Linked DNA regions of Danio rerio. The protein of the gene in region 1 binds, or shares a complex with, the protein of each later gene. Links are inferred from orthologs where the notes say so. Each region holds a gene or a part of one and is shown on either strand. Other genes may lie near its edges.

Region 1 (4,479 bases):
TGCTCGGGCAACCAGCGCCATAATTCGCACTGTATTTTTAATATTACAGGTTATACAAAAATATTCAATAAAGCAATACGCCCTCTGGATATTAAAAACAACGTAAATACAAATCTTGGATACAACAGTGCGCTTACAAAAATACATTGATACAGCAATCCTATACTTAAACTTAAAACATCCTATTTTATATAGGCTACTCTAGGAAATGTACATAAAATTACACGTACACAATATTAGACTTTAGAGAGACGTTGGTAATCAAGCATCAAGAGAGATGGGATTGCTTAAAATTATCATTTAGTTTGGGGCTAAGTTACAAATCGCATGTAAATTAATGTCTAATTAGGAACACAGAAAAGTTAGAGCAAAAACAATAGCCAAAATTTAATCTAGAAGTTTGGTGTTACGGTCACGTCATGTGCAATTATACTTGCAAAATAAATAAAATTATGTTTTACTGTGCTTCAAAGTGAAGTTGGAGTAATAAAGGAGTCTATTTAACAATTTGAACGACGTAACATTTTTAATTTAATAAGTTAAAATAATAGTGTTAGGTTATTTAAAAAAGGGTCAATTCAGTTTCAAATAGTATTGTTTGTTAGTAATGTACATTATTATACAAGTTCACTTAGCATACATAAAGTACACTTAAAATACTTGATCTTTAAGTACAATTTATTTGCACCTTATTGGCACACTTTTGAATTCATTCATTCATTTTCTTTTCAGCATAGTCCCTTTATTCATCAGGGGTTGCCACAGCAAAATGAACCGCCAACTTATCCAGCATATATTTTATGCATTGGATGCCCTTCCAGCCACAACCCAACACTAGGAAACGCCCATATAGGACAGCCAATTTATTCATTCATTCATTCCTCTACCTTTCGGCTTAATCTGAGGTCGCCACAGCAGAATGAACGGCCAACTTATCCAGCATATGTTTTACACAGTTTGTTCCTTTCTCTCTGCAACCCAGTACTGGCAATCATCTATACACACTCATTCACACACATACACCATACCCAATTCACCTGTACAACATGTCTTTGGACTGTGGGGGAAACCGGACCACCCGGAGGAAACCCACCTGAACATGGGGAGAACATGCAAACTCCACACAGAAATGCCTACTGACCCAGCCAAGGCTTAAACCCTCAACTTTCTTTCTGTGAGGCGATCGTGCTACCCACTGCGCCACTGTGATGCCACCTTTGAATTCATACAAGCAAAATCATTCTGAAGTCTATTCTTATTGTTTTTTTAAAACAGAAATTGTTCAACCTTGACCTCCTGTTTCTCAGTGCTATAAATATGAGAAAAGGCCATGCTCTATTATGTGAAATTAAGGTGTCAAGAGGTCAAGCTGCATGATCTGTTACAAACATCTGATTTCCCACAAAGGGTTTAAATTTAGGCAGAAGTCTAAAATCAGTTAATCATGGCTTTAAAATCGAAGATATAACAGGGACAATAACTCCACAAATGTGGACTTACTCAACTGGCAAATGCAAATCCAGAAGCAAGTGAAGCTGATCACTTCCTCTCTCAGAGCAGAGGCTGGGGGTTGTTCTCTTTCAGACTGCCTCTGCTCAGTTCACAACAGAGACGAGCAGCATTCATGTGTTCACTGCTCACCGTGTTTTGAGGGAGCATGTCCTTCGTAAGCACCCTTCGCCAGTGGGATGAGGCCGTGGCTTGTGTGGAGCAAAGAGACCCAGACGCTGCTCTCAGGATATTCCTCAGTATCGAGGAGAAAAACTCCAAGATCGCTTTCAACATCGGCTGTCTTTGTCTGAACAACAGTGACTTAGATGAAGCTGAAAAGGTACTCTTGTATGGCTGAATCAATGTTTTATACTACTTGATGTTTGAATTGTATTTTGAAAGTCTAAAATATTTGTGGCTGTAAAAAGGAAGTAAAAGTAGTTTTATTCTTTATGGGAAATGTATTTCTGTTTCACACCTGCAGGCTTTTGATGGAAGCATTGGCAAAGATGAACACCTGGCCGTGGCCTTTTTTCAGAGAGGAGTTACATTTTATAAAAAGGAAAAGTAAGATCATTACCTCTTGTCATGACACTTTAAAGGACAGTTCACCCAAATGTTTCTATTAAACACAAAGGAAGATAAACTGAAGACAGTTGAAAAAAAATCAGCCATTGACTTCCATACTATTTTACTATGGATATGCCTATCGGTTTCTTCAGAACATCTTTTTTTGTGTACAACAGAAGTTTGGAATCACTTGAGCGTGAGTAAATGACGAGAATTTAAATTTAAATTTGGTGAACCATCCTATTAAGTAAACGTTTTATGCTGTTCTGATGGCTCAAGGTACTTAAAAGAGTGGTCTAGAGTGTATTTTTAAGGCTTGGATGTGTTTATAAGAAGCAAAGCAATGTGTGATCATGCTTGATTTGTAGAAAATCACATTATTTTTCATATATCTTAATTATACGCTAATACTCAGCTAACATGAAAATGCCCGCCCTCAAGAGGCTCTGATTGGTCAGCTAACATAATGTGCATAATTTGCAAACCAGGAAAAGCATCACGCCTTTAATACTGCACGCTGTGTCTCTGCTTTGTAAATACTGTCGGTCAGAGCCAAATCAGTTTGAGCCTGAATCAAACAGAAAATGAAGAGGACACAGCAGAACCTTACGCCTGCTCTCTAAAATAAAATCTAACAAGTGTCTTTCACATATATTCAGAATAAGCATGTGTGTAATTAATATGAAACATTTGCATATTTTTTGCAAGTTTGTTATTTCAGATGTAGAACACAGGGAAAGCGTCCACATGGAGTTACACTGTAGCGCTGCAAAAGATTGTGACTGTTTACAGAGATTTGATGGAGAAATATGAATTTGTAGCTAAATTGTTAGCGGTTTACATCCTCACTACAACATAATGTTAACGCTTAAAACTGTGCATGTAATAGATCAGTTTTCTCAAATAAAAACACTTACAGGTTGTGGCTCTCAAACCACAGCTTCTTTGATTATGGTTGGAGCTGCTGGTTGGTTTTTAGCCGAACCAGCACTGAACTGGGAGAGATTCAGGAAGTTCTCCTTTGTCAAATGCTAGAGCTATATATTTTCATAATTTTCTGGAATTCCTTGTGCCGTGTCCTTTGGAAGCTTAAATACAGTAACAGAAGATGCTCTGTGAAAATTGCAGTTATTGGATGGCATTTTATCTCTTTTTGCTGTAACATACAGCGCCTCTGGCCACGCCCATTCGCTCTGCAGGGTAAATGCATGTAACCTGAAGCATTTGTGATCTCACTAACCTGGATTTTATTTTTATTTTTTGTAGTCCTCAAATTTTGTTCAATGTCGGCTTTGCTAAGCTAACTCTGTAAAAGCCAATGTCTCTCTTTGCATTGAGCGTATTACAGTCAGAGATGTTGTTTATGTTCACACAGCTACATTACACATCAATTAAAGTTTAAAATGTGATATAGTAGTGGACCGCCGCTTTAAGAGCCGATCACAAAATATCTCATTCCACTTTTAATAAACTGATGATCCTAACCTTCTCTCCAGGTTTGAAGAGTCTCTTCTGGATTTCCAACAAGCATTTAAGCAGTTACGAGGGAATCAACTAATTGATTACACACCTCTGGGGCTGAGATATAAACTTTATGCTTGTGAGGCAAGTCCAGATATTTTTTCAACTTTACTGACTTATTAATAGTTGTGATGTGAGTGACATTTTACACGTCTCCATTTCTGACTTGATGGTTTTTCACAAGAGTTTTCTCCTATATTGCAACATCTGACATTAACAGTCACCTCAGTTCATTCTCTAAAGCAGTCTTTTTGTCTTGTGTAATATTAAGGTGCTGCACAACATTGGACTGGCACAGGCGCAGTTGGGAAAATGGGAAAAAGCTCAAGAGAACCTTCTCACTGCTCTGAGCTTGAGAGCAGATGCCAAGTTCAGCCATATTGATCATGCGCTGGATGCCATTCTGGTCTGTATCTGCTTAACTTTCATTATCATAAACATGATTATCAGTTGCTAGGACTCATAAATTAAATTCCTGTTTTAATTTACAAGTTGGCCCTGAAAGTCATTGAATTATATGTTGACCTAATACTCTGTGGTTCATCTCAAACGTTTTGGTTGTTATATGAGGCAACGAAAGCTTGTTCTTTCGTAACTTGTCTAAAAAGTGGTTATGTTTGGTTTGTTTCACAATCAGAGGTTCTGGTTAGATTTTGAGGGAAGTTGTGTAAGTTTCAGAAAGGTCAAAATTCACGAGACAGATGATTTATACTCCGATATCCTTACATAAGTCATCCTTCTAGTAAAATGAACATCATTCTTTGTACGCATTTTACAGACAAAGTAAATTGTGAAAGTATGAGTCAAGGAAACACCAGAAAACACAGTAAAAGCAATTAAACAGTGAGGTTATATAGCAACAAAAAATTACTAACATGCAGTGCATTGGGACTTCGT
Region 2 (3,682 bases), on another chromosome or scaffold:
TCCCCTCTTGAAATTACTTTTTTTTCTGTTCTCGAATGGTTTTCGCTGGTATGAAGATGGGACAACCTGACACTCAATGTACATTCACACCCAATCTATAATGAGAATTCGACTAGAAAAAAATGTCCTTGTAGAACTCATAATTACAACTTAACTGTTAACCTGTTAACTGGTGATTTTCTGAGAGCTGTACCATGTTTACAAATTTCACCTTATTGCTTCCAATGTATTTAGGCATTGATAGTATTGCCATATAAATTCAACATTCCACGTCTGAGGGAGAGAAAAGAACCAGTAAGAAGATGTGTTGTCTTATAGAAATTGCAGTAATTACTACATGGGATGAGCACATTGTCATGTGACACCACAGCATTATTATATAACTACAACAACTGACAAAATCAGGCACCGCCCCTCTCCTATTTAAAAAGCCATTTCTGTATCTTTTGATTGTGCATCAAAGCAGGAAAGAAAAGATTAATGGACTTTCATTTCAAGATTTTAAAAAGGTTGAACAGATTAAATAATGAGTGTTCATTTATTCATTCATTTTCCTTCGGCTTAGTCCCTTTATTAATCTGGGGTCGCCACAGTGGAATAAACAGCCAACTTATCCAGTATATGTTTTACACAGCAGATGCCATTCCAGCTGCAACCCAGTACTGGGAAACCTCCATACACACTCATTCACACAAATACACTACAGCCAATTTAGTGTATTCAATTCACCTGTACTGCATGTCTTTGGACTGTGGGAGAAACTCAAACCAGTGACCTTTTTGCTGTGAGGCCACCGTGTCGCTCCATAATAAGTATTTACTGTTTTTAATTAGTCATTTTATTTGCGATCACCTATATAAATAAACTCTTAGAATGATTTTGTGTAGTGTTCATGCAATCTGGACTCACTGTGTTGTCATGTATCATGTAACCTGCTAGCCATTCATTTACCTATAATATATGGTAGCAATACCTAATTTCTAATATCTAATTTACATTAGATTAGTCAGTACCAAAGACAAACTGGAGGAGTCATAACAAAATAACATTCCAAGATAACATTCCAAACATTTTTACAGCCAAATTATTGTTAAGGAAATATTTTAAATAACACTTTAAGAAAGAGGAAAATCATGAGAAACTAAAAAATATATCAAATGTAGTTGAAATATTGTAGGCTGTATTTTTTTTCCTCTCAATATTTTGTTTTAATTGAAATGTTATGCACACTCACCGGTCACTTTATTAGGTACACCTTACTAGTACCAGGTTGGACCCCCTTTTGCCTTCAGAATTGCCTTAATCCTTCGTGGCATACATTTAACAAGGTACTGGAAATATTCCTCCGAGATTTTGGTCCATATTGACTTGAAAGCATCACGCATAGCTGCAGATTTGTTGCCTGCACATCCATAATGTGAATCTCTCATTCCACCACATCCCAAAGGTGCTCTATTGCATTTAAATCCGGTGACTGTGGAGGCCATTTGTGTACAGTGGTCAGCAACAATCCTCAGGTAGGCTGTGGTGTTGACATGATGCTCAATATCTTTTTAAAGTAATACTTTATGTACACTTTATAGCTCACAATACATTGTCTGTTTTATTTGTCAGCTATTATATCATTGGTTCTTATTTATTTAACTTCAACGTTCACAACATAACAGTATGTTGCTGGATGATTGCTAGCCTGTTTCGATGGCAAGAACACTGTGGACTTGCTATGGAAACATCCATTGACCACTCAAGGTCTGCTCGGTGTGACTGCATGGGCTGCTTTGTGTATGGAAACAATGGTATTTGTGATTGTCAGATTAAAAGCCAACATTCAGAGGTCGGACCTTGAAAAGTACAGCAGTCTTTGCACACCTTTTCAAAGCTTTTTCTCCATCTGCTCTGCTCTGCATTTTTCACACTTTCTGAGAGAGCACTGACATTGTTTATGCGCATCGGCTTTAACCAGTGATTCAGCTAGTGCTTTCTGAGAAGATCTTTTCAACAAAAAGACTTTGACATATCCTAAAACGAAGTGAAACAAGGCAGCATGATTTCCCAGGACATTCTTTATTATATAACAAACTTACAAAGAGATTGTGGGATTGGTCATTAAAAAGAAAAAGAAGCTCTGAATAGCTTTAATGTTCGTCTATTTTATAGAAGACAAAAAGAAAGGCTGTATCTAGTCAAGAGATAGATTGATAAACAGCCGAGAATGAAGTGTTTTGATCTGCTCCTCTGCTCCCTCCAGTGGTACCCAGAGGTGAGGCATCACTGCCCTTCCACTCCAATTATCCTGGTTGGCACCAAGCTTGACTTGAGAGATGAGAAGGAGACCATCGAGAAGCTGAAGGAGAAGAAACTGGCACCGATCACTTACCCACAGGGTCTCGCATTGGCCAAAGAAATAGGTGAGGTGGCAGAGCTGGATTTGTCCTTTTTGTAACCCTGGATAAAATTACTCATACCACTTTTCTTTTTTTTTCTTTCTTTTTTTCAAATCTTATTGTGTGTGTTTAAATGTTGTCATGCAACAATGATGCATTAAACTAATCAAAACATTACAGGATATTACACTATTACAAATAACTTATTTAGCTAGATAATGTTCTCTAAAACTTTTTTATTTAACAAAGAATCCTGAAAAATATATCTGTTTCATGGTTTCTATCAAAAAAAATTAAGAAAAATTAACAATATTAACAGTTTTAACTATATTAACAATATTAAGAAATATATGGAGTCCTATTTTTTACCATATGTAATAAGTTATGGCTTTTTATCTCAGCATTGTGAATTAAAATATTTTTCAAGAAGAAAATCAGAATTGGGAGATTTAAGCTGACAATTTTGATAAAATAAACATGCATTTAAATAAAAAATCAGAAGTGCAATGACTTTTTTTAAATGATCGATTTCTGAGGTTATTAATATTCTTTTCTAAATTGTGTGAAAAGTCATTATTTCAAGATAAATAAATAAACCTGAATTCTGAGATGCAAATTTATCAGCTCTTTTACAGTTCTGACTTAATTTCCCTTTGTGGAAAAATGGCTTCCAAAGAAATTCATTTATTTTCCTTCGACTTAGTCTCTATTTTAGAGGTTGCCATAGTAGAGGAGTGAACTGCCAGCTATAGACATGCGGCCTCCATTTTAAAAGCAACAGCGATGCTGCAGGGGAAAGAAACCCGGAAGTATCACCTGGAGTCAGACAGGAATGGTGCCTTCGATGGCATATTGTTGAGTACCTCGCTGTATATCTTATTAGCAAAAAAAAGACACAAATTTATCATTTTACCAATTTCCAAGTGAACCGAAGGTTCGTTCTGAATGGATGGTGAAAATAAAAAGGGATATCGGACCTAATTTTCAGCTAAGTTAAGAGAAATGGCACTAGTTAGCTAAAGTTTTTTTTTTCCAAACACATGTTTTAGATGACATTTATCAAGTTCAAGTTAATGAAATAATTAATTCTTTCACTATATTAGACTTTTCACGATACTGAATTTGGGTACTAAAATTTAAATAAAAACGTAAATTTCCCGCTAACATTTAAGCACTGTTGTGCGCGTCTTAAACGCAGATGATTTGCCGTAGATAGTATTCACCAGTGCTCAACAGAAATGACTGTGATTGGCCGTGAAGGTCATCAGTTCACTGGACTTAACAGATGTTTACCAAAT

The links. The genes of interacting proteins can lie anywhere in the genome.
Region 2: ncf2 (region 1) and rac2 share a complex: the UniProt entries of both Homo sapiens proteins name them as parts of the phagocyte NADPH oxidase complex. The link is inferred for Danio rerio from reciprocal best matches to the Homo sapiens genes NCF2 and RAC2.

Annotation. Positions count from the first base shown.
Region 1 is NC_133182.1:41,684,626-41,689,104, reverse strand, and holds the start of ncf2 (neutrophil cytosol factor 2), read left to right. Parts: upstream 1-1,615; 5' UTR 1,616-1,657; coding exon 1,658-1,831; intron 1,832-1,975; coding exon 1,976-2,058; intron 2,059-3,557; coding exon 3,558-3,666; intron 3,667-3,853; coding exon 3,854-3,988; intron 3,989-4,479. UniProt on the Homo sapiens protein: Subunit of the phagocyte NADPH oxidase complex that mediates the transfer of electrons from cytosolic NADPH to O2 to produce the superoxide anion (O2(-)).
Region 2 is NC_133178.1:28,282,473-28,286,154, forward strand, and holds part of rac2 (ras-related C3 botulinum toxin substrate 2), read left to right. Parts: intron 1-2,248; coding exon 2,249-2,408; intron 2,409-3,682. UniProt on the Homo sapiens protein: Plasma membrane-associated small GTPase which cycles between an active GTP-bound and inactive GDP-bound state.